Linked DNA regions of Lytechinus pictus. The main gene of each other region encodes a partner of the protein of the gene in region 2 in a complex. Links are inferred from orthologs where the notes say so. Each region holds a gene or a part of one and is shown on either strand. Other genes may lie near its edges.

Region 1 (16,434 bases), about 26 Mb from region 2:
CCATGATCACAGAGAACTTGCCAAGTACTTCAAAATCCATGCTCCTAAGGTCACACTGAACCCACTAAAGCAAGATAGAAACAAGATAATCATAATGAAGTTTAGGAAACAATCACATTTATCACACAGGTACACTGGGTAAGGGAGGGATTATAGACAATAAAAAGGAAGAAAGAGCGGTGACAGACAGATAAAAACCATGAGGAATACACAGTGGTGCTAAAAAGGTAGTGAACCCCTCCGAAAAAAAACCCAACATATTTCAAGTGTTCAGGTTTTTGCCACGTTTTAGATATTTCATTGTGAAATCAGGTGATAAAATATTACTTTCAATAAAGTTTGTATCTCTGTGCTCGCTGAACATTGTACTGTTGTTGTCTTCATTCAACACTCAGTACGAAGGAGTGCATTTCTGGTGGGGTTCATTAACTTTCAAACACCACTGTATATAAGTGCATGGTAGAAACTTGACTATTTATGAAGAAACTTAGAAATGAATAATCAAGAAGACAGTTGAATAAATAAGAATTTGCCTATTTATTTCGAGTAATCACTATTTTCTCACAATATTTTGTACTCCTTGCTTCCTTTCATTCATGTATCATTGATGAAATGCAGACTAAAAAAAATCAAACATGTCCACCATCTGTGCTTTGTCAATTTTTTAAGACCAAAGATTGATTTGTGAGCTTACCTGCGGGGGCGTCATGACACTTGGACCAAGTTTACTGTTCATTCTTTGTAGAGCTACTGGACCAGAGCCTTTCTCACCACTCTTACTAGCTTCTTCAACTTCATAATGTACATACTACATGTGAAAATAAATACAAGACAGTGTAAAATCTGATCTACACTCTTACTAGCCTTCTTCAACTTCATAATGTACATGCTATATGGTAAAAAAAACATAACAGTGCAAAATCTGATCACCACTCTGGTTAGGCTCTTCATCTTCATAATATACATACTATATGGGTAATCAACTTCAATTATATGAAATTTCATGGTGATATCAAAGCTCCTCTGAATGAGCCTTTCTCTTCCTCACCACTCTTACTAGCTTCTTCAACTTCATAATGTACATACTACATGTGAAAATAAATACAAGACAGTGTAAAATCTGATCACCAATCTTACTAGCCTTCTTCAACTTCATAATGTACATACTATATGGTAAAAAAAACCACAACAGTGCAAAATCTGATCACCACTCTGGTTAGGCTCTTCATCTTCATAATAGTATACTATATGGGTAATCAACTTCAATTATATGAAATTTCATGGTGATATCAAAGCTCCTCTGAATGAGCCTTTCTCTTCCTCACCACTCTTACTAGCTTCTTCAACTTCATAATGTACATACTACATGTGAAAATAAATACAAGACAGTGTAAAATCTGATCGCCACTCTTACTAGCCTTCTTCAACTTCATAATGTACATACTATATGGTAAAAAAAAACATAACAGTGCAAAATCTGATCACCACTCTGGCTAGACTCTTTATCTTCATAATATACATACTACATGGGTAATCAACTTCAATTATATGACATTTCATGGTGATATCAAAGCTCCTCTGAATGCAAATAGAATATCACTTGCACTAGAAACTTTCAGAATAGACAGTCTATTATAAAACAATACTGGTTAATTTTTTAAATAAAAAAATGGATGAAACATAAATATTCAGATGTCTTGTACTTACTTTGCATGTGTCCATGTGAAAACAAGTATTCAGGAACGAACAGTCTCCAAGGGACTCTAGATGGGAAAAGAGGATATACATATAAACTCAATCATATCTAAAGTATTCATCAAAATGCATGCTCGTCTCAATGACCTAAAAAAAGATATATACTGGAAACTAATTACATTTATGAAAAACCCTATTATTATTCCAGCAATTAGCAGTCAACCCATGCAAATAGCTTATCCAACAAACATTGACGTTTGCATTCTACTAGTACCTATTAACTACATAGGTGGAGATTGACTAAGTATAGATTGATGCCTTGGCAAAGGGCACTATTGCATCAATGGAATTTGATCACATGACCCTCTGATTACAAGGGAAAGTCAAAAGAAGTAAACAACACCAAGACACTAATAGCACACCAATTACATACAATGTTATTATATAGATAAATAAAAGCTCACCATCAGTGTGTTTGTTTATTATTCTCCTAAAATGAAGCTGGAAATGAAAAGAAAGAGGAAAAAGTTAGAAATTAATAGAATTCTTAAATATCACTGTTCGTTCAATCATTAACATAGAATTTAAATACATTTTATCAAATTGGTTGTGAAATTTGAATAGAAAAAAAAATAGAGATTTGAAACAAGAATTGAAAAATAATAAAACATGACCAAAACAAGGTTTAACCTCATTCTGATATCCATAAATATACCTTCTGTTATAATCAAGCAGAGTATGCATATCTATTAAACAAGTAACAAACATTAAAAAAACATTTCTCCACGTCAAATAGTCTCTTGGTAAGGCCCAATGAAAACAAGTAGAAGCACAATACATGTTTGCATGTGTACATAATTATATTTTAAATATTTATAATGAAGACTTTAAAGATCAAATCCTACCTTATTACAATTTGATGCTCCAGAAACTTTTATGCATTCATCTCTTGTACCATGCGAACAGAATTCATGAACAGTACCTGACAATTTGAAGGAAAAGAATTTTAAAAATAGTAAGGTAAACAGAGCTAAAATTAATCGAAGCCCGCGATCGTTGATTGGCCTTTATCACCTCTCATCGGCTTTGGAGATTTGTTGTTTTATTTTCTACATTTCAATTTTTTTTTACCATTTAGGCAGTAGGGGCCTAAAATAGAAATGTACCCTATAAAAAAGTGGCCTTGCAACCAAAAATATTGACATTTAAGGTATTATTAGACTTCACTCCTATTAGCCTTTTTCCACACATGGGTAAAATTAAGCGTGTGGAAAGCTGTTTTGTTCCAAGCTCTTTAAACCGATCAGCTTTAATTTTTACCTATCTTTGAAAAAAAGTATGAACTTGAACAAACCTCCTTTTGACTTAAAAGCCTCCTTAATTGACTTCTCTTTAGCCGTTGGCATACTCAATAGATCATGTATCTCTTGTCCCATTTCTTTACTCTGTAAAAACAAGAATAAAATCAAGTTAATTTACGGTCAGCATGCATAACAAGTTTGTACTTGTTTCTGAAAATAGACTCAGATATACCTTCATTACATTAGATTTGAATAATCCTACCATTTCAGAATTTCTCCTATCTCTTGATTTATCATTATTACTATTATTTCAATATTAAAACTATTCCTTTTTTTTATTGGGGGGGGGGGAGGGGTACAATTTCATCTTACGATTTTATTGCTCTAATAATCTATTATTGTATCATTTGAAATAATTTCTCCCGAAAACTCAAAATAAATGATCTCCAATCAGTCAAAAGCAATAAACCTATGATAAAATAACTTCGAATTACACAAAATAAGATTCCATTTATTGTTGTACAATTACTAGTATTTTAAAATAAAAAGGTACAGAAACATCCCTAAAAGATGAGTACATTTGACCCATACAAATATATTTTCTATTATTCATTAATAAAGTTTTTTTTTGAAGTAATCTATTATTATCAAAACATATTTGTCAAAAAAATTATATGAACAATTAATAATCCAATAAGCCACCAATATATTACCTCTTGTTCTTTAAATGATGTTGAGGTAAGAAGGTTCTCTAGAGTTAGGTCAATAACCTCATCTTCTTTTTCTGATTTTACAGCTGACTGTTTGGCAGTAGAAGTAGGTCCAATATCCTGATCTGAATCAGATCTATGCACATAAAAATCAATAAATAATATAGTTCATAATGGGAGAAAGCTGGTCCATTTTAAGAGAGATATTAAGCATTGACTAACTTCATCTGTCATTTATTGTAATTTACAAAATTACTATTTGCGAGAATGCTAAACCTTGAAGGTAGTACAATATCCCCCTGAGTTTCAAATTGCTCACTCTAACACTCCTTTCTCAGAATGCTATATTTTGATCATGTAATCTTATCTGATATATATACCCACTAGAATTACTATGGTAAACCACTTTAATCTTTAATATTTAAAAGAAATATTAGGTCCCAAAATTGTTTTAAAAAAAGTACAGTACAATTCATTTCACCCCTGTTCTTAGACACAGATCAAAGACTTGAAAATTTACATCAAAATTGTTATCAAATAGTAGTTATATAATAAAAAAAAAAACTGAGCTGTAAATTTTATCCTTATAAAATTAATTGGTTTGGGCACAGATCTGATGCACAGTATCATAGCGGTAGAGGTAATGAAAATATTTGTTTGGACTTCTTAAAATAGGGTAAACAGAATATAATTGATAGATCCTACTTTAACCACTGAAAAGTCAATAGGGTACTGCATTTCTCTACTCATTGAACTGAAGTGATGCTTCATGTTCAGAGTGGATTCATTAAATCTTTTCCTTTTATGACTTACTCTTCTCTCTTTCTTTTCCTGGATTCAGTCCCATCAGAGATACCTTGACTTCCTGCAGGTACAGTACTCTGGTAAATTAAGAAGAAAAAATGAAATGAATAGTAAACTGATCAGCGACATACTTTGGAGGGCAGAAAAATAAAGAAAAAAGATAAGTAACACAGGTTCTTAAACCTGTAAATACAGTATTTCATTGACCTGGAAAAATCTATATTTTCTAACATTTACAAGATAATATAAAATCCTGAAACAGTAGTGTAACTGAGGAAAAATTTTCTAAGAAATATGCGTATGATCATTACAATGCAATTGTAAGTTTACAACACATGTTTGAATAAAAAATGGATAAAAATCAAAGGAACAAGTGTATTCTTACTGAAAGACCTACATGTACACTATCAGTAATTTGTGGGTCATGGGGCACAGGTGGCATCCCCCTTTGCCATAAATTTTGCAATGTGTCCCTCATTTTCAGACAAGTGCCCTTCTTTTTGAAGTAATATTTTTTTCAAGCGATTTATCTCTGAAACATGATCATTTTTTTATGAGTCACATTATATTTTTATCTTCTCAGCAATTTCTGTATCCTCTCATCTACAAAATATATATACTTCATCTATAAGGGATGTCATGTACCTTGTGTTAAAATGCATGATTTTATGATTTATTCCTATCAAACAACTACAGCAATGCTCTACAGAAAAACACCACCATAAAGAAAAACAATTATTCTTTACATTATCAGCTTTTATATTATCATTTGTATCTACCGCAAGAAGCTATAGCAAAAGAATGGGGTTTTTTCAATAAAAATTGACAAAAAATTGACAAATATCTACAAAATATCTTTTAGTGATCTATTCAGGGCCAGTACTACACTATAAACCAAGTAAAGCATCTTGCATATGGGCAATTTAAAAAAGAAATTGACAGAAACTTGACAAATATCTAGAAAATATATTTTAGTGATCTATCCAGGGCCAGTTCTACACCATAAACCAAGTAAAGCATCTTGCATAGGGGCAATTATATCTGCAAAATGGATTTTTGTCATTTATACAGAAATGTTCGCTGCAATGTAAGTTGTGTTTGAGTCTATGCCTCCAAAGTCTCTGATTGCACAGAAGGAAAATACACAAACTGATTTGATGTTTGGTGTGTAAAGAGTAAAACAACAAACTCAACCAATCTTATGAGCTGTGTTTGACAAGAACACCATTTTTTCCTTAAATATATCTATCGGGCCTATTCAACATCTACAGCAGTAATCATACATTTCCTTTGTTTAAAGGCAATATTGGATGGTTAAAATATAATTAAGGGTAAAGAATTTTTAGACTATGGTAGTACATTATCTTAGGAATCAAGCAAGACTGAATTTATTCTGAGAGTTATCAATATTTGACTGTCTTGTTCAAATACATTTTTCATTGATTTTGGCCTCTAGGGCCACTTCATAAAAATTTATTGTGGTAGTACATTGGGAATAGTCAGGTATTGCATTAGAAAATACATCAAACATTACAAATATGCAATGTCAGCAAAATCTGACTATGTCTACAATCAATTTTACTGCAAATGGTAAAAATAGATAACCATGTCTGCTCTGACTCAGTCAAGTAAATTGGGACTAGGAAATTGCTGCTGACTTCCAAGATTATAAATGATACGATAAACGATGAGAACACTATTCAGTATACTACCATAAATTCTAAACCTTCTTGACCAACTGTAGAATACCTTTGGAATAGGAACTGGAGCTGATCCATCTTCTTGTTTTATTCCTGTTTGTATTGATGAGGTACATGTACTACTACTCTGTGCAGGCACACTATCAGGTGGAATAGGTGAACTTGATACTTCCAACTTGAGTGAAACTGGTTTGTTCTCTGACGAATATAATTGAAAAAGGACATATCAATACAGAGGCATTAGAAACCACTACAGTGTGGACTTGTTTTCTTTATCTAAATCCAAGCTCATACAGTCATGTGGAAATGAAATATTCTTTCCTCTGAGTTTTCATGCATTTTCTTTCAAGAGTGAAAAAATTAAACAACACAGGGCTGCCAACTCTCACGCAATCTGCGTGAGTCTCACACAATTCACCCGATTCTCACGCTGAACCCCGAAAATAGAGAGAAAAAAGTTTATTAGCCTATATCGGATATTCAATAACATTATAACCCGGACAGGCAAAAGTTTCAAAGTTTTTAACCACACAAGCGCAAAGCTAAACCATCAATGCGAATTGGTTTCGGTTTGCTGCGCAAAGACAAGACATTGAGTTGCGATTGGCTTACTGTATCCCGTGTATGACTATATTAGTATATGAGAGCTGGTGACGTCGAAATTTTACTATGAAGCGGGGTTTTTGTGCGAGGCACAACAAGCGATCGAGTGTCAATGCAATGCCATGCTACTCAAAAGTTGGCAGCCCTGCAAGTGCAACATAATTTTTGCATTTTAATTAAAAAGTCGACATTTAACGTTATGATATTCCCCTTTCAAAAGCAAAATAATGAAACATGATTGAAAAGTTTCCAATTCCATTTTTTTCTACAAAAGAACATTGATATTTCACTTTCAAAAGCGAATCCAGTTTCCAAATGATGAAACATGATCGAACAATCAACCATCTTGACTCTTGAGTCACATAACCTTGGGAGGAAAATATATTTTTGTGATAAAATGTATGTATTAAATTAAAATCAATATCAGAATAATCTACGGTATGCCGCCTTACATAATTTTCAACTTATGGGACTACAGTCATGGCAGTCCTTTCCAACTCACCAGTTATTCCTGTTGTAATTTCCTTCCTTCGCATCAACTTGGCCTTTAAATCTTCTCTCTTTTTCTTAAGAGCCTCCAAAGTACTAGCCATTGTCCTTGATTGGCGATAAAGTGTTACAATAAGAGGAATATGATCACAGTATTGCCATTCAACAACAGTCTAATCCTCAGTTGGGAATTCAGCTCACATGTAATTTCAATAGCTGCGATCACAGAATCGTGATATCTGCATAAGAATTGCATTGCGCATGCACGGCTTGAAGAGAGGGATAGAGCGGCACCGCGGCGCGAGTGCGGATCGGATCGAGCGCGAGATCGAGAGGAACATGGGGAACCACCTTGGGTGTGGCCGTGACGCGATCTCTATCGTCAACAAATCATTTTGTCTTTGACTTTGGTCTAGCTAGACCTACTCAATAATGGGTAAATTGCAGGTATTTGAGGTTGTTTTCGAAGGTAGCAATGAAGTGTTCAAACCAGGGGATACCATCCAGGGACACGCAAGGATAGTTTTGACGGGAGAAAAGGGAGACATTCGAGGTAAGTATACCCAGTTGTTGTGTGTCCGGACAGGTTGTGTGTCCGGACAGGTTGTGTGTCCGGACGATCAATTTTAGAAAGTCATTTGGAAAAAATTACAAGCGAAGTTTCATCAATTTTTAGTACAAAACGTTAGGAAATATTATAAAGAACAAAACAGAAGATGATTACAAGTATTGAATTCATATTTTTAGTGTAATCCAAAGACAAAAAAGAAGGCTTCAAAAAGATAAAGTGTCCGGACACCCGACCCCCCATCCTACTAAAGTAGGAGGAATTGCCAATTGCCTTGGAACTAAGGGTATGGCTTGGTCAACAGGGGTATGGTGAGACTACCACATATCGACCACCTCTTTTGAAACCGACCACCTTGCGCACGTTAAAATTATTGCGTATTACTAACGATACGCACGGGAGAGTAGGCGCAGTGTCCATAGAAACGGTAAGAATTGATTTTACGAGAAAAAAAGAAGCAACAAGAAGTAAAAATTTAGTAGAATTAATCAAAATTGTATTGACCAGACCCAATTAAACCCCGCTGAAAAACCAAGAAATCCAATAGGAAACGGCTCTAGAACAAATATCCGTCGTCAATCGTTCAATCATGTGTCGGAGCTCGCAGTGGAAGTAGTGAGACGATCATTTAGCATGTTGACATCATAGAACTGATTTGGAAGAGTAAAAATATTTTGCCACCGCGACAAGAATCGGTCGTAAACTCAATGTACCGCGGGTGGTCGGTTTCAAAAGACGGGTGCAAATGAGCAAATGTAAAATCGTCGTATTCGTTGTTCGTCGATATATACGCGGATTGAATCGGAGTCGCCGAGCGAAACATGGGAATCTGATCTGCTCAATTTTCTGCACAAATGAGACGAAAACTGGGTAAAATTGATCGCAGATACGATGCTTAGAAGATTAGATGGTCGATAAGGGGTAGTTCCAACCATACTGCGGTATGCATGTCAGATCAGATCATCAGGGGCCGATTGCACGAAAGGGTCTTTCCAAGACCAAGGTCAAGGCCGCTGTATGCGGCATATTTCTTAAATGTATGATAAACAAATAAAATTTGTGAGATAGCATTTAAATCAATTTGTATACAATTTCAAGATATATCACATCATTTCATAAACAAAGATTATTATTTTTGTTTACTTTATCGGATGAATAAAATATGTTTGCAGGTATGGCAAGTTCCCCCAAGTCTGCGCATGCAGTCCCCCTTGTCTGCGCACATGCTTATCTGCGCAATTCTAGTAAAAGAAGATACGCAACGAACACAGACTTTACAAATGCAATACATAGACAGATATTCATCAAACAATCCGACTCAAAATATTGGAAAAATAATGAATTTTGGGCATTTCATGTGACGGCCTTAAAATGCAGCCTTTGTCATCAAAATCCCCGAATGGTGTGCAAAGTGAAGGGGTGCGCAGACATGGGGTACCATTTTTTTTTTCATTCTGATTTCTCCAAGAAAATCCTATATATTCTTTCAAATTTTTATGAGATATTTGGCACACTTTAATACTCCTAATATAATATCAGGAACATCATTACCGGCTAACTGAAAGATTTTGTGAAATAGAAAGAAATTCGTGTTAAATCTTAACTCATATACCGGTAGCTAGGTGCGCAGACTTATAGGGACCACGGTGACCATCATAATTTATTTAAGATGCGTTTCACATGGCGCATCATAAATGGGCGACACGGAAGACGGTTCTTGCAGCCTTATCTTGAAATAAGTCACCTCTCTTCTTGTGTGTGTCAGTGTGTGTGTGCGCTCTTTGTGTACATAGTCAATGGGAGATGGAGTGGTTACTTAAACCAGGATAATGCCGTTCTGGCAAAGACCCTTTCGTGGAATCGTCCCCAGGACCTCAACAAAGAGGTCCGCATTTCCTGGGGTCCAGCGTCAGCAGAGCTCTGTAGTGGTACTGTACTGGGGCCCAGGGGTGGTATTCTGAATTCTAATATCCATTTTATCTCAGAGTCAGATAAAATAAAATATTTTATCTTCGTTAAAATGAGTGTGATAAAATATCCATAAAATCTCTCCAAATTGGTATTCTGAGAACCAGTTTATCTTCATTTAATCTCTGTAAGACACATCTATCATGTCTATTTTTGAAGTAATATCCAATGAGAAAGTGAGAAACATCAATTGTTTTATAATTATAGCACTTTCATCTCACTCAACTAATCATTGATATCCATTCCGCCAGGAGGTATGGCAAAGGAGCAAGATTATGTCAATTTATTGAATTCAAATACGCTTGCACTATGCGCTAGGGCATTTTTACAGAGATTTCTTTTAAAAATATGACAATACTCACAGAGTCCCAATGTCAATATCGCATCATCACCAGCATCATTTTAGAGACAATTATTAGTCCAGAAAATATTATGAAATAATTCCTTATCATACAGGAGTAATGTTCAGGTATTATACTATTACTCTCAATGATATAATTTTTCTTTCAAATTTGTCTTCAAGCTTTTAGAGCTAATTCACTTAGAAACCATGCTGGATTGGACGACGCAGAGATAAAAGAGGCCCCACCCTATTTTAAGTTTCTTTTTAAGTTTCTTCTTCAAAGTAACGTGGGTACACGCACATCATCTGCGTAGCAATGGCTAGATACGCGATGGATATTTCTATGTAGGCTCTGCTCTGTCGCGTATAATCTTTAGATATGTAGATCTAATGAAGTTAAGTTTGCTAAAATTTCATATTTTATCTGAGAGATAAAATGTCATCTCAGAAAACCAATTTCATTTTTGAAGACAAAATGAAATATTTTAAAGATAAAATTACCTCAGAATACCTCAATACCACCCCTGGAGCAGGACATCAAGATAAAGTTCTTAACCCAATCAACTCTTAGTAACGGGGTATGCCTTAATTTTGACTTAGTTTAATATAAAGAACAAAGTCTGCACTTATCTGACTTCATTTTTGCTCCAGTCCAAAAACATGACCAATATGATTACAAATATCCAACTTATAATATGACTGATTGCTGAATCCTTCCCTTGAAAATACAAATGGATCCCCGGAAATGGATCTAAGTTTAAAAAAGAATAATTGCATCATGCCGGCGCATCTTCACCAATGTGCAATTCTTACTCCATCCATGGTAGTACACATGTTCCTAATGCAAATATAGTGATGAGTATTTTTTTTTAAGCCTAAAGGCCAATCACAGAATGAAAATTTTGCAGAAAGGAAAGACCTAACTGTTACTAGGTTTATGCATTAAACAAGAATTAATGAATACTTTGCTTTGCATATTCTGGTATACCTACAGAGCATATATATGTAACCAGCGGAATTGACAAAAACTTCATTCATGGAAATAAAAAGTGATAGAGTTACAATTTTCCTCGCTCCCCTTTTCTCTTTCTCCTCCCCTTTTCTCTCTGTCTCTCTCATGACTACATGCAGGTATTAAGGTAATATGCAAAGGCAAGTCCTACACTCACTGGACTGAAACACGAGGCTCCGGAGATCACAGAAGAACCATCCATTACACATGGAAAATTCCATTCTTCAAGCAAGAAGTCATTCTCCGTGGAGCAGGTTAATATTTCTTTGCATCCATTTGAATTTTGATTCATCTATAATTTATTTTTAATGGACATGTATTTGAGATACTCTCAAGCTCAGTTCCTTTGCTTCACACATATTTCATTTTTCTAAATGAATAAATTTTCTGATCATGTATACTTAACTATTTACTGATATGCATTGTCATAGATAAGAAATAAGAGAATTTATTATTTAAAAAATAATGTATCCATTTTAAAATGGCATAGCCTATGTGTGAACTTTACACTGTAAATTTATGTTTGTTTTATCAATATATAACTTGTTATTCATTGAATAAATGTTCATTGGTCTCCAAATATACAACAATTGCTGCCCCCCAAAAAAAATCACAGGCAGCTGGGCCCGTATTCCATAAACGAGATAAGCTTTTTGCTTAAGTCTTAGCAATTTGTCTTAGCATATTGCTTGTCTAAGAAATCTTCCCTAACGATATTCTATAAACTTTAAGACATTTGTCTCAAGTCAGACGATATGGCTAAGCCAAAGTCTCAAAGTCAAATTCTATGACCTTCTAAACTGCTGCAGGGGTGACTGCAACAAAATAGCAAAAATGTCATTGAAGTTGTTTTTTCTTAACAAGTTTGATTTTATTGAAACTAATTACAACCATTGTAGTAAAAGAAGAGCATTCATCACCCATATATGGTAAGAATTCTTTATTCAGATTATTCTATATTTTGTTAATTACCAAAACATTTCAATCCCAAACCGAGTGACTTGCACAGTTTTTTATGTATCAGTCCCATTCATTACTTTTCATGTATTGTTTGTCAAAATCTAAATGGGATAGGGTAGATTCCTCTCGACATCTTTATTCTACTTCAGTTGAAGTAGACCTAGGGTCTAAGGGAAAACATTTGTAACTTTTGAGACTAGTCTTGGGTCTAACATTAGGCCTAGATCTAGCCTAGGCCCAAGATCTACAACTAATATCCGTCTGTTTGGAGGAGAATTGAACATTGTTTTTACTTTTTACTTTCCTGAAGGCTGAAGCAAAAGCCAAAACGTAACTTTGTTAGTCTAGTGCCGTAGTGGAGCAACTGAGACTGAAGCTACATACTAGGCCTAGATCTAACGATAGACCTATATTAGTATTGGTCTAGGCCTAGAACATGCAGGACTTAGCCTGGCTTAGCCTTAAGACAGGGATAGATCTATCTAGATTTACATGTAGGTCTAGAATAGATCTGACTTAGGCCTAGACCAAAAGCTTCAGTCTCCGACTGTATTTTGGTTGTTCCGCTATTTTAGTATTACGAGTACGACACTAAACAGTCTAACGTTACGTTGGCCTAGTCTCACCAATGTGATATGACAGTAAATGTCAGAAACTTTTAAATAAATCCCCAGAAACGACGGTTATTCCTGTCAACAGTGCTAGATATATCGCTATGCATTGCTTGCCAACTAGGCCTATGCCTAAAGTTAGATCTAGTCCTAGTAGTAGTCTAGACATCTATCTAGATCTTCTCCTGCTTTAGGTCCATCTGTTTGTTTGGAGTTTTTATTTTATACATTTTGAATTTGAGGACTTGTTTAGATCTAGGTTTCCAGGACTAGAAAACAGGCCTAAACCTAGACCAACACTGGCAACAGCTCAGTCTAGACTAGGGCCTAGATTTATATAAGAATTTAGATCTAGGGCCTAGGCGGCCTAGCCTGTGCTTTCTTCTATTCATTCTAGATTTTATTTCTAGCCTATCCGGTAGCCCTAACGTTAGGACTGGCTGATCTAGTCTACTGTTTGATCTAGAAATCTCTAACCTAGGCCTAGATCTAGACTAAATGACTTACTCACTTAGACTAAAAGTTAGACCCTATCTAGATCTAGAACTATACCAATCTAGGTGTACATAGGGTCATAGTAATAGGTGTAGATCTAGAGACTTGTAGACTCTATCTCAATGTAGATTCTAGATCTAAAAATAGTAAATGTAGGCTAGATCTAGTCTAGTTCTACTCATCTAACGTTAGGCCTGAGAAAGGAAGTAGGCTAGGGATCTAGCATTGGGTTATTTCTAGGACTAAAGAATCTTGATCTAGGCTTAGATCTAAACTAGGGGCTGTAGTTCGAAATCTTGAGGTCTAGCCCCCCCCCCCCCCAAAAAAAAAAAAAAAAAAAAAAACTAGAACTAAGCCCTCAGCTACATGTAGTTCTCTATGTAGCCAAACAAAAGTTAGCATTGTCATTGACCATTGTCTTAATCTTTTTTGGCGTATACATGTAGTTATCATACAAACACATATTTTGATGAATGAGAAAATGTGTCTTGCAGATTATTTTAGCTCAAAACCTACATTTCATGGACATATAGGCCAATGTCATAAAATGAAGAAGTAGTTCAATACACATCATGCTGTTTACACATTTATTGATCTGATATGCTGTTACCATGGCAACAAATTTTCAAATATATGTCTTGCAGATCTACACCTCAAAATCAATGTGTGAGCCAACTTTTATAAGAATTGGTAAAACTAATAAAGGGATTCAAACCACAAGATTTTCACCTAATTTCTTTATATAATATGTTGTTACCATAGCAACACGAATTCTGATACAGGCAAAAGTATATCTTAGACATCTTCAACTCAAGACTATTGTGTGCGCCAACATTTTAGGAGAATTGACCAGTTGAAAACTGATAAAGTAATTCAAATTACAAGATTTTCATCTAGTTTTTGTTATTTTATTTGTTGCCATGGCAACGCAATTTTTTATAAAGGCATAAAATATACTTTGCACATCTTCACATTAAGACTAACGTTTGTGCCACATTTCATGAGAATTGATTAAAAACTGAAGAAGTCGTTGGAACTGCAAGATTTTTACATAATTTTTGCCCTAATATACCGTTACCTTGGCAACACAATTTCCGACACATGCGAAAATGTGTCTTGCACATCTTTACCTCAAGACTTATGTCTGTGGCAAACATCATGAGAAGTGGTTGAAATATTGTAAACTTGTTAAAACCACAAATTTTTCACCTAATTTTCGTTATTTAATATGTTGTTACCATGGCAACGCAATTTTTGTATATAGGCATAAAATATGTTTTGCACATCTTCACATCAAGACTAATGTTTGTGCCACATTTCATGAGAATTGGTTAAAAACTGAGGAAGTAGTTGGAATAGCAAGATTTATACATAATTTTTGCCATAATATACTGTTACCATGGCAACACAATTTCCGACACATGCAAAATTGTGTCTTGCACATCTTTTCCTCAAATCCAATGTGTGAGCCAACTTTCATGATAATTGGTAGAAAACCGATGAAGTAATTTAAATTTTAAATTTTGGCCATAATATACTGTTACCATGGCAACACTATTTCTGAAAAAGCAAAAAAAATTCTTACACCTCCTTACCTTAAGACCAATGTGTGTTCCAAATTTCATGAAAATTGGTTAAAAACTGAGGAAGTAGCTCGAAATGCAATATAGGTATGAATTCTAAAAAAAAATTGGCCATGATTTGTTGGATTTAAACGTTGTCTTAAAGCAATTAAGACAACTCACCACTGTCTTAAAGTTAGGGCAAAATTCTTAGCCATGTAGAATTTATGAAATACAGACTCTGCATATTTAAGAAAAGTTACTTAGCCATTTATCCTAAATCTGTCTTAGTCGCGCAAAAATTCTTAGCCAAATTCTTAGACAAAATTCTTAGCCAATTCTTTATGGAATACGCGTTTTGGCTAAGAATTTTGTCTTAGACAGAAAACTAAGACAAAATGCTTAGATTTTTGACTTAAGCATGCTTATCTCGTTTATGGAATACGGGCCCAGGGCCCGTATTCCATAAACAAGATAAGCTTTTTGCTTAAGTCTTAGCAATTTGTCTTAGCATTTTGCTTGTCTAAGAAATCTTCCCTAGCGATATTCTATAAACTTTAAGACATTTGTCTCAAGTCAGGCGATATGGCTAAGCCAAAGTCTCAAATTCTATGACCTTCAGCGACCTTCTCAATAATAAATTGCTGCAGGGGTGACTGCAACAAACTTGCAAAAATGTCACTGAAGTTGTTTTTTCTTAAAACTTTGGATTTTATTGAAACTAATTACAACTATTGTAGTAAGAGAAGAGCATTTATCACCCATATATGGTAAGAACTTTTTATTAAAATTATATATATTTTGTTAATTACCAAAACATTTCATCCCAAACCGAGTGACTTGCACAGTTTCTTTGTGTATCAGTCCCATTTATTACTTTTCATGTATTGTTATTTGTCAAAATATAAACTATAAATTCCTCTCGACAGTTTACTTTAACTTCAGTTTAAGTAGACCTAGGCTCCCTAAGGGAAAACTTTTGTAACTTTTGAGACTAGCCTTGGGTCTAACATTAGGCCTAGATCTAGCCTAGGCCCAAGATCTATAAAATATATGTCTGTTTTGAGGAGAATTGAACATTGTTTTGACTTTTTTACTTTCATGAAGGAAGGCTGCAAAACGTAACTCTGTTACACTTACAATGTTATTTAGTCTAGTGCCAGTGGGATGCCATACTTAGTGGAGCAACCGAGACTGAAGCTACATATAGTACATAGATCTAGACCTAAATAGTATTGGTCTAGGCCTAGAACAACATTCGGGACTAAGCCTGGCTTAGCCTTACTTAGCTTAGGACAGGGATAGATTTACATGTCAATGTAGGACTAGGCCCTATCTCACTATCTGACTTAGTTAGAGTTAGGCCTAACGTTAGACCAAAAGCTTCAGTCTCCATCTGTATTTTGGGTTTTCTGCTAAACTACGAGTAAGAGTAAGACACTCGACAGTCTAACATTACGTTGGCCTAGACCCCAATCTCACCAATGTGACATGACAGTAAATGTCAGAAACTTTTAAATAAATCCCTAGAAACAATGGATATTCCTGTCTAACAAGTTACAGTGCTACTGCTAGACCTATCGCTATGCATTGCTTGCCAACTACGTCTAAAC
Region 2 (16,895 bases):
CGAATGAAAGGATGAACGAGAGAAAGAAAAAAAGGAAAGAAAAGAGATGAATGGAGAAGGAAGAAAGAATAAAGGAAAGAAAAAGGTTTCCTTCATTCTTTGAAATTAATAAAGAAAAAGGGAAAGAAAAGAATAGGAAAGGAATGGAAAATGAATTACTGGGTGAAAGAAAGAATGGAAAGAAATAAAAAAGGGGGAAAAGTAAGAAAAAGGGAAGAAACAGAGAATGAAGAAAAAAAGATCCTGCATTTTTTTGAAAGAAAGAAAGAAAAAAAAAAAAAAAAAAAGAAAGAAAGGGGAAAACAGGAAAGAAGGAAATAGCAAAAAAAAGGAAAAAAAGGAAAGAAGAAAATAAAGAATAAAAGAAAGGATGAAACTTTAGTGGAAGGAAAGAATGAAGTGAAGAGAGAATTAAAAAAAGAAAATAATGGAAGGATGGAAAGAAAGAACAAAAAGAAAAAGGAGAGGAAGGGAGAAGAAAGCAAAGAAAAATTAGAGGAAAGAAAAAATGAAGAAATTTTAAAAAAAGAAGGAAAGTACATGTAAGAAAACGAAGGAAACAAAGGAAAATGAACAGAGAGAGAAAAAAGATCGGGAAAGAAAGCTAGGAAAGATTGAAAAGATAGATGGAACAAAAAAAGGCAAGCGAGAAACATAGAAGAAAGGATGAAGAAAGAATAAAAGAGAAAGAAAGAAAAAAAGAAAGGAAGGTAGCAAGTAAGGATTAAGGAAGGAAGAAAAAGAAAGAGGAAGAAAGCTCAAATTTGAAACAAAACAAAAAAATGCAATCATCAAACAAAAATCTTGCTGAAAAAATATCTAAAATATATTTTTTAAATTGTTGGAAAAATAAACGTTTTAGAAAAAAAATTCACAGAGAAACATTCACAAACTTAAAAATCAAATGAATCATCGCGGCATCGTAGACTTGCACGCATCTTTCTTTCCACTACAAAACTCAATAACTTGCTCCTCAGATCACATCACCAAATCAGTAATCTGAGAATCCATATAAGTATATCAATTTCCCGCCGATTTTGTGATTATTTTGTTGGAAAAACTATTTTTCATGTGAGCTTGTTCACTTAGATTTGGAGTTTGATCGGGATAGTACAGGTGTGTACAGCAGCATGGAGATCCATGCATGCCTGCCACACAGGCTGGAGGCTGGGCGCACCAGCCACATGTATGTATGCTGACTCTGTGTGTGTTTTTGTGTGTAGATCACAAAAAATGTTGCAAAGTGGCTTGCAATTTGAATTGAGGGAAGTTGTTAACTTGTTTTTTTCTCTCTTTCTTCTGTATTTTTTAGTGTGAAGTATTGGGAAACTTTGTAAAATTTCATTTCACAGTGAGAATTTTGCTTGCCCGATTCGGACAAGTATTTTTGGTCTTTACTTCAAAACACTTGCCCGACTCTAACTTTTACTTGCCCCGGGCAATCGGGCAAGCGCTTATGTCGCACCCTGCATACATGTAGGCTTAAGTTTGGACCTAACGTTACATCTAGACCTAACCTAATGTTAGACTTACATGTAATTTTATTTTGTTGATTGTTGGGCTTGGCTTTTTGTTGTTGACATTTTTATCATTCATAGAAATTCATTTTAATTGCGCATTATCATTTTCATTGGGCCTATCGCCAGACAGAACGGCCATTCTGTGCTTTGGGAACTGTTCACCAAATCAAAGTTGTACCTCCTTTCAGCACGATATTATAAAGAAACCTCGCTTCGGCGATTTTCAAAAGAAATGATGCGAATTGCTTTGTTAACAATGTGAAGCTCTTCACACAACTGGTTCCCTCTTTCCTCGCGCGATATTCATTGGGCCCAGATTTTCAAGTTTTCAGATGACATCGGCGATTCCGCACAAGGGTTTAATTAATCAAATGTGGAATTATAATTTTGAGATTAATCCATCTACCCTGCATTTCCCTGCTCTTCAAAACCACTCTGCCACTTTCACAATGGTGAAAAAAAAATGATCACAAAATTGATTAATTAAATAAATCACAAACAAGATATATATGAAGATCAATCATTTTAATAAACTCTTGGTTCTACTCATGAAAATTGGAACCAGCTTGTACAATTCTGGATAATTTTCCATAGCTGGTTCCTATTTAAGGAGTAGATAAAGACAGTTTACAAGTGATATTTCTTTCATCAGAATCACCACTGATGAAATAAATCTCATTAGTAATCTGTCTTTATCTACTCTTCAAAACAGAAATAAGCTATGGAAAATTCTCCAGAATTGTACATGTTGGTTCCCATTTTCACGAGTAAATGAAGACAGTTTACTACTGGTGAGATTTATCTCTAAGAATCGTCACTGATGAAATAAATCTCACTTATGAACTATAAATACTCTACTCTTCAAAATGGGAACCAGTGTGCGAAACCCTATGGAGAATTTTCCACACTGCTTCTCATTTCAGCAGGAACACTATATTACTCTACTGTACTCGCTGAAATGGGAACCAGCATGTAAAGCTATGCGCCACTCATTGCGCATGCAACATCTATTGCAAAATACACACTCTGTGTGTGAAGCTGTGACTGCAGAGTGACATTATGATTCCTATTCAATTTCTTTCCACAGAGGCTGCAATAAATCACTAAATGCAGAGAAAACCAGCAACTCTTTGGCCCGTATTCTGAAGCCGGGTTTAACTTAGACCATGGTCTAACTCTGTGCTAAAATTATGGGAAGCCAAGAGTCAACATTTTTATTATAATGTGTATTTCTTATGTTTACTGTGCTCTTTCCCCGATTCTTTGATGGTGAAGACAATTATCTTATTTATACTTCCTAGACAATGGGGGATGATTTGAGAGTCAAATGAGCTGAAATATCATATCTACTCTTAGTGATTTGTCACAATTGGCTATCCATAGTTAACCCACAACTTTAAACCCGAGTTCAAGTTAAACCCGACTTCAGAATACTGGCCTTTGGAATTTTGGTGTTATATTCACTTTAATTTCATATTTTCCTATTAATATTAAGCACAGGAAATACTATTTCTTAGCATGATAAATCAAGTGCCTAGCTTTAGAACCCCTTAGTTCTACATCGGGCGGCGAAATCAAGGTGTTCGGAAAACATGTCGGGATTTTCGTATTTATGAGTTTAGTGATAGTTTGTTCTTGGGTAAGGATCTTCAGAATATATACCACAAATAAGTGAAAAATAATTTGTAAAAAAAAAAATTGGCATAGTTTATCGTTTTAATTAATTCTTGTTTAAAAATGAAATCAATATTGTAGAAATGTCGGAAATGAAGTTGTATCCCATTTACCGGTACATAATTTAGATATAGCTATAGGGCTAGATCCTTTAGAGGTAGACCAAAACTTAAAGCTTTGGTCTCTGTTTGGTTGTTCCACTGAACTCTGTTGGCTCCACTCACCAATTTTTTCCCAAAGTTTTAATTTTATTTTTTCCTGTTTTGGTGCATTTCAGGCAAAAACGGAATATTATCTCTATTTGGTCCAGTTCTTTTTATACATTTTTATGAAATAAAGACAAAAATCGACGAGCCCCGTCCGGGGGATTTTGCATTGTTAACCCCCTAATCATAATGGTGACTGCACAGCCGTCTGTGTACGAGGAGAAATAAGAAAACTTAAAAATGTTAAAAAACTCCTCGAAACACACGGCGCGGCTGGCAGCTGTCTAGAACGTGTAGAAGTAGAAATCTTGGGGGCGAACATTTCTGGGTTTTTTGCGGTACACCCACATGAATGGGACACAATCCCTTGCTCCGTGGAGAGTAAGCACATGGGCGCTAGTGTAGTTTTGCACCTCCCCGTTTAATGGTTTTCAAACATGTACAATCTCACCCTAAATAATTCACAATAAGCTTGTAACCGATTTTGCAATCGGCAACCGATTCCATTCGATTTCACAACAATCGGCGATCACTTGCCGATCTTTGATCATGCCCCTTGAAGGAAAAAATCGGATATAAAAAATCGGCATACCTGTAGATCTAGTTACAGTGCGGTCAGAACATATTTCAAGATTGTTCTTGCAGAGGTGCTAGCTATTTAGAGCTTTTTAACAATCGAATAGTTCGAACAATTGAGATTCCTAGAATGTCAGAAATGACTCATAAAAGGTTGACCTACTTATGATGACCTACCGGTAGCTGCGCTGACTGGTATGGCAGGAGTGTAACTTGGAATGAATGTATTGTATAATATACAAACAATGAACATGTACTTGTACTGTGTTTGTCATTTATCCCGCCCATGAGTGCACACAATGGCCAATAGCAATGGAGTTTGAGAGCTGTATGTGACTGCATGGGTGCATGAATGTGTTGTATGCATTATGTATGCTAGTGCTTATGCTGATAAATCCCGCCCATAAGTGAATACAATGGACCAATAGCAAGGGAGTTTGAAAGCTGTGTGTGACTGCATGAATGTGTTGTACGCATTATGTATGATAGTGCTTACGCTGATAAATCCCGCCCATGAGTGAATACAATGGACAAATGACAAGGGAGTTTGAGAGCTATGTGTGACCGCGTGGGTGTAGGAATGTATTGTGTGTATTACGTATGCTAGTGCTTGCGCTAATTTTTGTCATAATCCCGCCCATGAGTGCACACAATGGCCAATAGCAATGGAGTTTGAGAGCTGTATGTGACTGCATGGGTGCATGAATGTGTTGTATGCATTATGTATGCTAGTGCTTATGCTGATAAATCCCACCCATAAGTGAATACAATGGACCAATAGCAAGGGAGTTTGAGAGCTGTGTGTGACTGCATGAATGTGTTGTACGCATTATGTATGCTAGTGCTTACGCTGATAAATCCCGCCCATGAGTGAATACAATGGACGAATGACAAGGGAGTTTGAGAGCTATGTGTGACCGCGTGGGTGCAGGAATGTATTGTGTGTATTACGTATGCTAGTGCTTGCGCTAATTTTTGTCATAATCCCGCCCATGAGTTCACACAATGGACGAATAGCAAGGGAGTTTGAGAAATGTATATGAATGCTGGGTGCATGGATGTGTTGTATATGCTAGTCAATGCCCTGCTTAAATCCCGCCCATAAGTGCACACACGGCCTAGGTACGAATAATAGCAAGGGAGTTTGAGAGCAGTGTGTATGGATGTGTTGCGTGTTGTATGTATCATGTAAGCCATACTTGCAGTGATATATTGTCATTAATCCAGCCAGTGAGCCAACTCAAAGAATAGCACTGTTAGCAGTGTCAATCAAACCCACCACGTGCACATGCCAAAAGGTAGTGTAAAGAATTTTGCGCTAGCCCGTTGAGTCTGGGCGGTTCCAGTTCTCGGCTATGCCACAAAACTATCTTGTATTGTGTGAATGCTTGCGCGCATTGCGTAATTCACTGATATTGTTGAGTGGGTGGGTATACAAAAAGATCGATACTGAGGCGTGACTTAACTTTTCCCAGAACTGATTCGGAGAAATGATGTACCAAGTAAGCTATTATAACAAAATGGGTGTACTTTGGAATGGTTATTGGGCGTGGCTGTAATCACATATTATAATGAGCGAACTTAGCTGAGCTCAGCTTCACATAAAAATACTTATAAAAGATGTCCCGCCGATCGTTCATTGACCTGTGATCTACGAGAATTATTTTCCTTTGCGACTGCTCGGAAGATGCGTCATTCGCTTATCTTTCTTATAAAAATCACTCATTTTATTGTTAAGCAGTTAAACCTCAAAACCCTTTAAAAGCATGTTCCAAACGATCGCGCATGTCGACTACTTCCATTCCTAAACATTCGTCTTTGTGACTTTGTCAGGAAGATGCGCGCGACCGCGAACAAAATGTTGATGTATTCCTTTGTTTTTAAACATCGCCGATTCGATTTTCGATTCGATTTCGATTTTAGAAGCTTAACTGCCGATCCGATTTTCGATCTGATTTTTGATCCGATTTACAACATTAATTCACAACCTAAAATACTTGCATCTGAGCCTCCAAAGTCCAGTAGAAGTTGAATATTTGCCGTTTTGACACTTTTTTACAAAGTTTTACACCTATTTCGGAATCACTCGGTCGCTTGATCAAGCTCAGCGCTGCACATAAGCAGTCGGTACGCGTACAGTACGTACCACCTAGTGAAGTGCAGTATTACGGTAGTGGTTTTTCACATTTCTTATTTCATTCAAACAAGCACACATACGCACACCCCACACACACCTTCACAGTGATTCACACAACAAACATCAACCACTCTGCACAACCACTACCGTAATACTTGGTGCAAGCTGAAAGAGGGGAAAAAATCTTTTTGAAGATACCATAGAAAAACTCGCTCTTCTTGCACGTCACTAGGTGGTACGTACTGTACGCGTACCGACTGCTTATGTGCGTGCAGCGCTGAGCTTCAAGCGACCGAGTGATTCCGAAATAGGTGTAAAACTTTGTTTAAAAAAATGTCAAAACGGCAAATATTCAACTTCTACTGGACTTTGGAGGCTCAGATGCAAGTATTTTAGGTTGTGAATTATTTAGGGTGAGATTGTACATGTTTGAAAACCATTAAACGGGGAGGTGCGAAACTACACTAGCGCCAGCACATGTTGGTTAGTGAATGATTTTTACTCTCTAAGAGCCTCCTGTCTGGCTACTCCAGCCCCATCCGCACCGCGCCTCGCCGGCCGTCGGCCGCGCCTTGCATAGCCATAGGCGGCGGAGCTAGCTTATTGCCGATTGCCAATGCCATGATTGGGTGGACTCACCTCACTCGTTTCGTGGGTTAGCGTGTCGAAGAAAAGAACCTCCATACTGCAAACGTTTCAAACTTGATCAAGGTTCAAATCTTCAAATTCTTTCTGTAGTTGTTCAAAACCAAATCAAGAACAAGGTGATTTTGCAAAGGAAGGATAATGTCAGAAATTTGCGAGTCATTCTGTATTTGTTACTCCCTGATTAGGACGACGGGACTCGGTAAGGCGGCCATGGCAAAAAATGTTATCGTTACTGTGTCTTTAACTGTGTCAACGAAAATGGGGAAAATGGCGATAGTATTAGACAGTGATGATAGTTGTTTTTATTTACCATTTGCAATTTGCATAGCATTTATTGTTAAAAGAATACCCAGCTAAGCACTCCCTTTGTTCTGTGTATATACATTGTATCTACATGTGTGTAAACCAGTGAAAAAAAGAAGAATTTCTTTTATGGACAATTAAGTTATTCCATTCAATTCAATTCAGTTCAATAGCAGAGGGAAGCGCCAACATCCCCCGGAAAATCCCAAGGAAGAACAGGGGTATTTTGTAAATACCGCTGAAATGGGCCATCCTCCATGTTTGACAGGATTTGTATGATTTGTTAAATTTGAACATATATATATATATATATATATATATATATATATATATATATATATATATATAAATGTGTGAAGTTATACATGTACTAAGCTTTGGCAACTCTTTTATATTTAAATATTGTGTGAAAGAAATGGATGAAGAGAACAATGGTAGGCGTAGCTTAAATCAAGGTTCCCCAGAGCTATCTACCCTTTTTGGAAAAATTGGTGATGCCGAAAAAATGTCTCTGCCGGGAATCGAACCCGGGCCCCCAGCTTTGAACGCCGGTGCCTTAACCACTAGACCACAGAGACGGGTTAGTGGCTAGGGCGACCCCGATCCAATTGACCGTCAGATAGACAGATTTTCGACACCATACCAATTATGAATTATCACCAAGTTGAATATATTCCATAATGACAAATTAATGAATGAACAGATAAATAAATTAATGAATAATAAATAATTAATTCAATTAAAATAATAATGATATAAATGAAAAAGACATACCTGTAATTACAGACTATTGTGATAGTTAAGTATATTCATATATATGGAATAAATACAAACAATGCAAGTAACTCATCAATGATCTTGCATCAAGTGTGTGGTTATGATGAAACAAGTACGTTTGTAAATGCTTTTAAATATTGTTACTAACTTTAAAAAACAGAAACCAATTCAAACATTATTTTAAATACACTAGAGTGAGGGGCATGATCCTCACACTTTTTTTTAGGAAACCTGGGACAATTTTTGCAAATAGATCGTTAGGCCTTGTCCCATCATGCCCATTAAATGTACGTTGAGTTATTGATAACATTGATCAAATCAATGTCCTGAATAACTCTCAAAAACGAAGAGCTAATTTAGCTAGTGACTGCTGATTTGTCTAGTTCAAATTCTTTTTGTTCCTTCTCATTTTTTCTATCCTGCATATATACGCATACATGAATAAGTCGGCAATATTTTTTTTTTTCATTTCCACGGGGGATCCACACTTTACAAGCTTTGCTATTATAGTGGACCCCCCCCCTCATTTCCATTAATTGCATTAGTGAACATAATAATAATTTAAAAAAAACATTCCAAATAGAATGAAATTTTTTCAGAATTTAGAATGTTGCATTATCTCTGAATAAAAATTTAAAGGGCATATCCTCCCCATATATGAATGAAGAGAGAAAATATCATTAATATAATTTTATCAAAATCGGATGTAAAATAAAGTTATATTATGACATCGCAAAATTATGACATCATAAAATAGTTAGCTGCATATTCTGGTCGTTATGCAAATTAATGAAAGGAATGATGAAATATGAAATAACTTAATTCACTAAACATAAACATGCTTCATTATAGTAAAATCTGCAAAAATTGAAACATTCTTTATTTCCTACCATAAAATCACTAGCGTACCTAAGGGGGAGGGGGCAATTTTTTTCTGGTAGGAAATGTTCTTTATTTGCGGTTGAAGACTTTTTTTTTTTTTTTTTTTTTTGCTTGTCAAATTTTTTTCTGGTACGAAATCCTTTATTTGTGGTTGAAGACCTTTTTTTTTTTGGGGGGGGGGGGGGCTTGTCGAATTTTTTCGCGGACGAAATATCCTCCAAAAAATTTGCCCCCTTTTGGAAAATCCTAGGTACGCCGCTGCATAAAATACAAAATAAATAGTGAGTGACATCATCCATACTCTCATTTGATATTACGTTGGACATGTTTTTCTATTAAAAAAATAAAAGTTACAACTTTCTTTTTTATCTCCGATTTTGGTGAAATTTTCCGCATTATACTTGAGTTTTTTCTATTTATTCAGATTCACTTTTTTTTTGGGGTGGACTTGCCCTTTAAAGTTTATTCAAAAATTTTCGTGTCTGCAGTCTTTTTATTTTGATATTTGCATCATCGTGTTATTTACACGTTTTTAGGGGGAGTTACAGTGTGATCTGTGATAGCATCATTCGTCCACTCTATTTTGGATAATAATAATCCTATTCTTTCCCACTAACATCTTACCTCTAAACATCTCACCGTTTAATCCTCATTTATACTTGTTTTGATATATAAAGAAATATTTTTCCTTATTTGTGAAGTGTTTTTTTTTTCACTATTGATTAGTCACCCTCATTTTCCTTTGTGAATATAATATGCACATAATTTTAAACGAGTGCAGCAATTTTTAAGACCCACTCACTACCTTTAAAGGTGCAGACCAGGGCCCCATCTTACAAAGAGTTACGATTGATCCATGCAATCAATAGTAATTCTATGGAAATCCATCAGTGTCATAATATTTTCTACAGGAAATTTGCAAAATGTCCTTTGTAAACAAAGGAAAACACACCAAATTGTCAAGAAATCAATGACTTTATGGATATACATTCATATATAGAACAATTTTTGAACAAACATGCATTTCATGTGTTGACTTGGCTGGCCTCCCATAGTTGCAATTGATCGGATCAATCGCAATTCTTTGTAAGACGGGGGCCAGATGGCACAATGGGAGCACCTTTAAGGTTTAACTTTGTACCTTTCAGAGAGGTGCAAAGTTGCACCTTTCCAAAAAGGTACAAAGTTGCACCTTAAAGCTGCACCCAGTGTGACTTCTGGTCTGCACCTTTAAAGGTGCAAACTCGGGGGGGGGGCAAAGTTGAATCTATTTTTTTAGTGTACAGACCCAAAATTGCTCAAAAACGTGGATTCGTGTACAAATCTAATGCAAATAGTTTTTTTAGCCCAAATTCATAAATGTATCATTATTTTTCCTTTTACTGATTAAAATCGATCAATTTCATCTTGTTTATGGTCAAAATAAATTCCCCGACAATCTCAATTGGAAAAAAACTTAACAATTAAAAACAAAAATTCGAAAAACAAAGAATTAGGCCTACATAAGAAATTTAAAAAATAATAAAATACATGAGAAAATAAATGAGATGTTTAAATTTTTAAAAACGCATTTGATCAGATTCCTATATGTGAACCCAAAATTAGCATTTTAGGGGCAATATTTAGTTCATCAGAGCACCCTTTTGATTTTATGCATAAATTAGCAAAATAACCATAATTTTTTAGATTTTTCGCAGAATTTGATCTTATAGTTTTGCATATTATGCCAGGGGTAGCGCGTGCCAATTTTCGTCTCAGCCTCCCCCCCCCCCCCCCCCGTCGTCTTAGGCGACGAAATGGCCCAGTCTATTTATATTAGGGTTAACGTGCTGATTTTCCATCGGAGCGATTGCATGTCGCCGGAGAAAATGTCATGGAACGATAATAAAGAGTAGGAAAATTATAATTTGATTTGATACGAATCTGTTCGCATTTTTTACGATCCATGCATATTTCATAAGCCCAAAATTATGGAAGAAATCGATACCTGTAAATAAAGACAATACACTCTAATACATGTAGAAATAGTATTATTTATTTTCCGATTCGAAAAATCAAAAACAAACACAACGATACAGATTGGCTTACATATTTACAGTTTGCATAACTGTAGGAAATATAAACGAGCTGGATTACACTCTTAAAATAATTGGGCAAAAAATGCCCAACTTTTAACCAACCCTGGGCAACATACTGTCCACACAACTATCGGTTAAAATCTGTGCAAATTGGGTAATAAAAACTAATAATTGGGTAATAAATTTGCTCAACTGGATAATAACTGCCTATAAATATATATATATATTTATATACGAATATGCTTCCAACATACATTACCCAACACAGAGGACAGTATGTTGCCCAACATCTATCTGCTGTGTCAAAATGCTGTTCTGCAATGGGGGTACAGTCAAGAAAAGAACAGAGGTAAAAATAGAAGGAAATGAAGTGAAATAATAATGATAACAATAATAATAATAATAATAATAATAAACAATAATAATAACAATTATAATAATAATAATAAATAATAATAATAATAATAATATGGTCCATTAATATAGCTCAGTTCCTATATGCATATATTCTACTGCGCTTGATACTTGGTAATTACCATGGCTATTAGCTGAGCCGCCATTATAGGCGCTAAAGCGTTCAAGAAATAAATCCTACCGGGTACTAATTCACCTCACATGGGTAGGGCCCTGGGAACGATTTTATTGAGTGGGGGTGCTGAAGTAAATTTAAAAGGAAAAAAAAAAGTTTTCACAACCAAAATGGAGATCAAATTGGTCCCGAGAAATTTGGAAAGAAAAAGAGTTCGTTTTGGTTATATTTTTTAAAAACATTTTTACACATCTTCCAGAATACCTGGGGGTGCTGCCTATAGAGAATAATACACGCAGCACCCTTAAGGTAATTTGGGGGGGGGGTGGCACCCCCGCTTCCCAGGGCCATGCACCTGGGTCGAGTACAGCACAATGTGGGTAAATTGCTTGATGAAAGAATACACGACATGGTTGGTAATCGAAAGCACTAACTGAAAGTCGTAACCACTATTACGTATAGGTATATACGAAAGATCATAGATACAATTAAATGAAATCACGACCCTGTGAAGTGGGGATGCTGATATACCCAGGGGGTGCTGCGTGTGTTACTCGTCTTGGGCAGCACCCCCTGGAAATCTGATAGGTATGCTGAATCAGAAGAGCTGAAATATAATCAGAATCACCTTCGTTTTGTAGTCAAAACCTTTTTATTATTATCAAATACTAGTATTTATTTGACCGAAACCACCTTTATTCTGAGCGAAAGCCTTTTTTATCAGTATTGTTATATTTCAGTTTAGCCTTGTTATATTTTAGTTTTTATTATTGCACTTTGGTATTTCGTTGATAAACACAACCGTCATCGATTTAATACTTGATTTCCAATCATAGCTATTTACATTGTGCGTGATTATCCATTGATCTTCATCAAAATATTATTTCACGGCTCCCAAGACAAAATCCAAGTTAGAAATTAGCAAATATTATTGATACAACTATGCGCATAATAACATGAAAGACTTGTAACTTTGTATCCCAAAAATTATGTACATCTTCTTTTTTTTACAATGTATTTACATAATAATTTTGTAGAAAAATAGAAAATGCTGCCACTGGTTGCTTCATTTAAAAAAACACATTAATCTCTCTATATGCAATGACAACATTTATAATAGACATAGAATATATGACATAATAAGACAAATTATTAAATTGCTTTGATGAAAGACCCGTTGGCATATCGTTGCGTATAGACATATAAACCTATACGACACTGTATTTACATGGCATTTCATAATGGGTAACATTTTTAACATTACATCACTACTTCAACTGTCATAAGAATTGAACAAAATAATGAATGCATTAAAAAACATATAATTTTTTGTACGAAATCAGCAAGAATTTAGCAAATAAATACATTGAAATACACAATTTTGTAGACTTATACCTATATACGAAACTGTATTTACATAACATTTCATAATGGGTAACATTTTAAACATTACTTCACTGCTTCAACAATATAATACAAACAAAATCAGTTAGAATTCAACAAATTAATACATTAAAAGACATAATTTTGTAGACTTATGCGTAGACTTATACCTACGGTATATACGAAACTGTATTTACATGACATTCCATAATGGGTAACATTTTAAACATTACCTCACTGCTTCAACAATATAATACAAACAAAATCAGTTAGAATTTAACAATGAATACATTAAAAGACACAAGTTTTTGTACATACATGTTATATACATACAGGTTATATGTGTATGTACTATGTAAGTATTATTATTTGAAAAGACAGTGAAATATTCGCTCTTTGATGATGACAGTATGTATGATGTCAAAAAAGACCGTGAAATGAGGATAACTTGGAGAATAAAAAATCTAAGTATGTCATGAAGATTTTTAAAAAAATAATGAAAATATACATTGAAAAAAAATCATCCTTTTTTTCGAATTTCATCATTCAAGCGTGTGCTTTGACACATTTCTTTTTTTGAGAGAGAGAGAGAGAGAGATATAGAGTATATATTGAAAAACTAATGACAAATCTCATTTTAATACCAGTTATGACTGTCCATCTTTGGACGATCTGTACAGTATGAAAATAATAATAACAACAACAATAAAAAATAAAAGTAATGATAGCAATAATAATAATAACAATAAAAATAATAATGAAAATGGCAATAATGACAACATTATCAGAAAACGATATTAATCATAATAACAAGAATAACTTGAAACAATAACAACCGATTATGATATCAGATAGTCCTATAGGCCCTTCACAAAATGTCGGAAAAGGGCATAGAATTCGAATTAAACAACAAAATGATAAGTTTTACAAAATGCGGTAAATTGAATCAAATTACTAGTACATTAAAGTGCAATTATTGCATTTTTTCCGAGCCTATCTATACTGTCTTTTAATTCTTCCAAGTTATTTCCCCTCAATATTTGACTTATAGGAAAACTGGTCATATGGATATTTTAGACAGAGATTCTACTTGCTACCTGCGATCACATATCGATGGTTTCGATGGTGGTTCACGGCGGTTTGTATGACTAGTAATTAAAATTAAAAAAATTAAAAGTATTTCAATGAATTATTTTTAAATTCAAGTTTTAGTTTTAAAGTCAAGTTTAAAAAAATATTAACACCAAACTCACAGGTAGATATTAAAACAACGCAATGTCACTATAGAATCATAACACTATACAAAAATAAACATATGTAGGAAATTAGATTTTCATATTTGCATATTTTTTGACGTCACTTATTATTTTGGACCCGTCTTTGTTTTTCATAGCACATGTAGGTAAATATTATAGAAATCTTACTGTTGAAATTTATCATTACTTTAACTAAAAACCTATACCCGATCATGTTTGTTGTTTTAGTATCTTCTTGTATAAATGTGTGAAATATCACATTTGACAATCCGAATTTTTCCTGGCTACTTCCCTTTTTGTGGGTACTGTTTATACTTTTAACATGGTTGTGTTGAGGCAGCCTTAGTTTAAAATGGCAGTGATGTGACGAGCTGAGGCATGATGAGTTATGTCATCTCACTGAACCATCTAGGATTTTGATGGGACTTAGCATGGTGTAGGCTAATTGGCATTCCCCACGGTGAATCAAATTCTGAAACCTCACTAATAGTCTTTATCAGCATTGATGAAAACGCCGGAGAAATTCGAGGTTAATCTAGAAATGAAAATAGATTTAAAAATCATTTGTATCTATTGAAGAAAACACCTCCTAGGTTGTATAAAAATGTCCAATAGCCAGCCCTGGGGTAAATTGGCTTTAAACTCTAAAAAATATTGGGTGAAAATGCTCCATGAGGGTAATTATGTGTCCAACCAACATTGGACATTTCCTTTGGGCATTTTTATCTATCCAGTGTGATGACAATTTTGCCCATTCTAAAGTAATTGCTGCTTATATTTTAATCTTAATGGACAATATATGCTTCCCGCATTGGGTAAAATACTGCCCCAAATTGTTTGGGCACACAATTACCCTCGTGCTGGTTAAAATTTTACCCAATATTTTTTCACAGTGTAGTTACTCATACGAATGCTAACTTGAGAAAGATCTTATAAGCTTATTGAATGTGCCCCTGAATTGAAAGTGGTCTCAAAGTGAAGTGACCACATTGAAATATACTTCCTCGTGATATTAAACATATCTCATAGGTTATCACAAATTTCGAGATAGTTCGACTTGAAAACACAATTCTACACTGTTTCAGCCGAAAATTTGCAGACAATATGGTAAATGGCAGAATTCATTTTCACGCAAAATCCTATTTTACTTCAATGAATTTGTCTAGAAAACTGCTTAACACATCCTATACTAGACAAAAAAATCGTAAGTCCAAATGTTTAAAATAGGCCTAAACTTTACTTTTGATAATAAAAAACTAACGTCCACATATTAGACAATAACTTCGAAATTTTCTGTGAACATAAATAAGCAGGGAATAACTGCAATAAAAGGATCTTTGTATATTGATACAGGTCATGAATCTAAACTTACAGAACCTCAGAAGAAAACAATTTCTTACGTTGGCCTAATGTGTGAGGAGAGTTTCTACTAAGGTATGAAATGCGGACTAAATAATTTCAATTACTTTAACTATTGCCAATATGATGAACAACTTTGCGAAACTCCACTACTCTTTGGATAACAGGCATTTTCTCTTTTGTATGTTTTGCTTTTAATCTCTTCTCTACATAATGTTACTCTCATTTTTTCACAGTTACGTAGAACGCTTTCAAGAACATAGGAAAATGTATTTTCAAATGCCCTTCATGATAATGAGCGACCAAGAAGTCTTTGTCGAAAATTATTGGTGAAACAAAACAGCAGTTACAAACGAAATATTTGCAATCGTTCGTCAGCTCCGAAACTTACATGTAGAACGAAACTGCTTTTTCCTGTTCATCAATAATATTTTCGACAAGGACCTCCCAGCTGTTCATTATCATTTGACGGGCATTTCCAACACGTTAAATAAGCACATCGTTCGAATGCCATTTCAGTGTTTTATTTTTATTTTTACTATTTTACTATTTTGTTACAAACCTTGTCTGAATTCACACGATTGATACAAATAAGAGCAAAGTCCTTCCCCGTGTTCGTAACGTCGATGTCATTTATCTGCAACAATTGATCACCAGCATTCAAATACCTCGGCAGCCTGGTAGTCTCAACTCTGATTTGAAGGGAAAATGAGAAAATCCGCAGTTGAATGATTAAAAAAGAACAATGCAGACCATCGTATGAAGGGAAATAATAGTTGGATTAATAAGAATATTTGAAATAAATGAATAAATAAGTAAATAAAAAATATAAATGAATAATAAAAATGAAAAGTAATATCAATAAAAGAAATAAAGAAAGAAAGAAAGAAAGAAAGAAAGAAAGAAAGAAAGAAAGAAATAAAGAAAGAAAGAAAGAAAGAAAGAAAGAGAGAGAGAGAGAGAGAGAGAGAGAGAGAGAGAGAAAGAAAGAAAGAAAGAAAGAAAGAAAGAAAGAAAGAAAGAAAGAAAGAAAGAAAGAAAGAAAGAAAGAAAGAAAGAAAAAGAAAGAAAGAAAGAAAGAAAGAAAGAAAGAAGAAAAATAAAATATTCATATACTTACATGATATTTCCATCGTTATCACGAAGGGAGATATCTCCAAGCATGTACTCCTCTTTAGGAATCTGCACGCTTACCCTCATTTCAACTGATGATACTGATCCGTCCCTAAGATAAGATCATAACAAATTTTGCTTTACATGCGAATTTTTTTGGGTCATATGCATGTGCTTCTTATAATTTTTTTTCTTGTAAAACAATGGATATGTCAGCACAATAATAAATGTTCTGTTTCAGTGCGTTTGGTATGTCCTATATTATTGGGCCATTATCCCTCTAAAATCAGGTTTATACATCATTCTACATTTCTGTTTACTATTAATGCAAACAGAAATTTGGCCCCTTTCATGACCTCTCTCACCTTGCCAAAGCAAATAGTTATTTCCACACTATTCTATTGCCAGGCTCTAAAAACAAGAAAAACAATTTTAAAAAGGTAAATTGTTGGAT

The links.
Region 1: protein virilizer homolog (region 2) and N6-adenosine-methyltransferase catalytic subunit-like share a complex: the UniProt entries of both Homo sapiens proteins name them as parts of the WMM complex. The link is inferred for Lytechinus pictus from reciprocal best matches to the Homo sapiens genes VIRMA and METTL3.

The regions. Positions count from the first base shown.
Region 1 is NC_087246.1:25,852,772-25,869,205, reverse strand, and holds the start of N6-adenosine-methyltransferase catalytic subunit-like, read right to left. Parts: upstream 7,879-16,434; 5' UTR 7,856-7,878; coding exon of another isoform or gene 7,735-7,855; 5' UTR 7,407-7,734; coding exon 7,316-7,406; exon of another isoform or gene 7,217-7,315; intron 6,409-7,216; coding exon 6,260-6,408; intron 4,588-6,259; coding exon 4,520-4,587; intron 3,843-4,519; coding exon 3,710-3,842; intron 3,141-3,709; coding exon 3,050-3,140; intron 2,678-3,049; coding exon 2,601-2,677; intron 2,197-2,600; coding exon 2,160-2,196; intron 1,764-2,159; coding exon 1,708-1,763; intron 809-1,707; coding exon 695-808; intron 65-694; coding exon 1-64. Other genes in the region: arrestin domain-containing protein 3-like, read left to right, coding at 7,735-7,855, 11,313-11,447. UniProt on the Homo sapiens protein: The METTL3-METTL14 heterodimer forms a N6-methyltransferase complex that methylates adenosine residues at the N(6) position of some RNAs and regulates various processes such as the circadian clock, differentiation of embryonic and hematopoietic stem cells, cortical neurogenesis, response to DNA damage, differentiation of T-cells and primary miRNA processing.
Region 2 is NC_087246.1:52,275,970-52,292,864, forward strand, and holds the start of protein virilizer homolog, read right to left. Parts: upstream 7,000-16,895; 5' UTR 6,798-6,999; coding exon 6,753-6,797; intron 1-6,752. Other genes in the region: uncharacterized protein LOC129270772, read right to left, coding at 14,466-14,504, 15,891-16,020, 16,449-16,553. UniProt on the Homo sapiens protein: Associated component of the WMM complex, a complex that mediates N6-methyladenosine (m6A) methylation of RNAs, a modification that plays a role in the efficiency of mRNA splicing and RNA processing.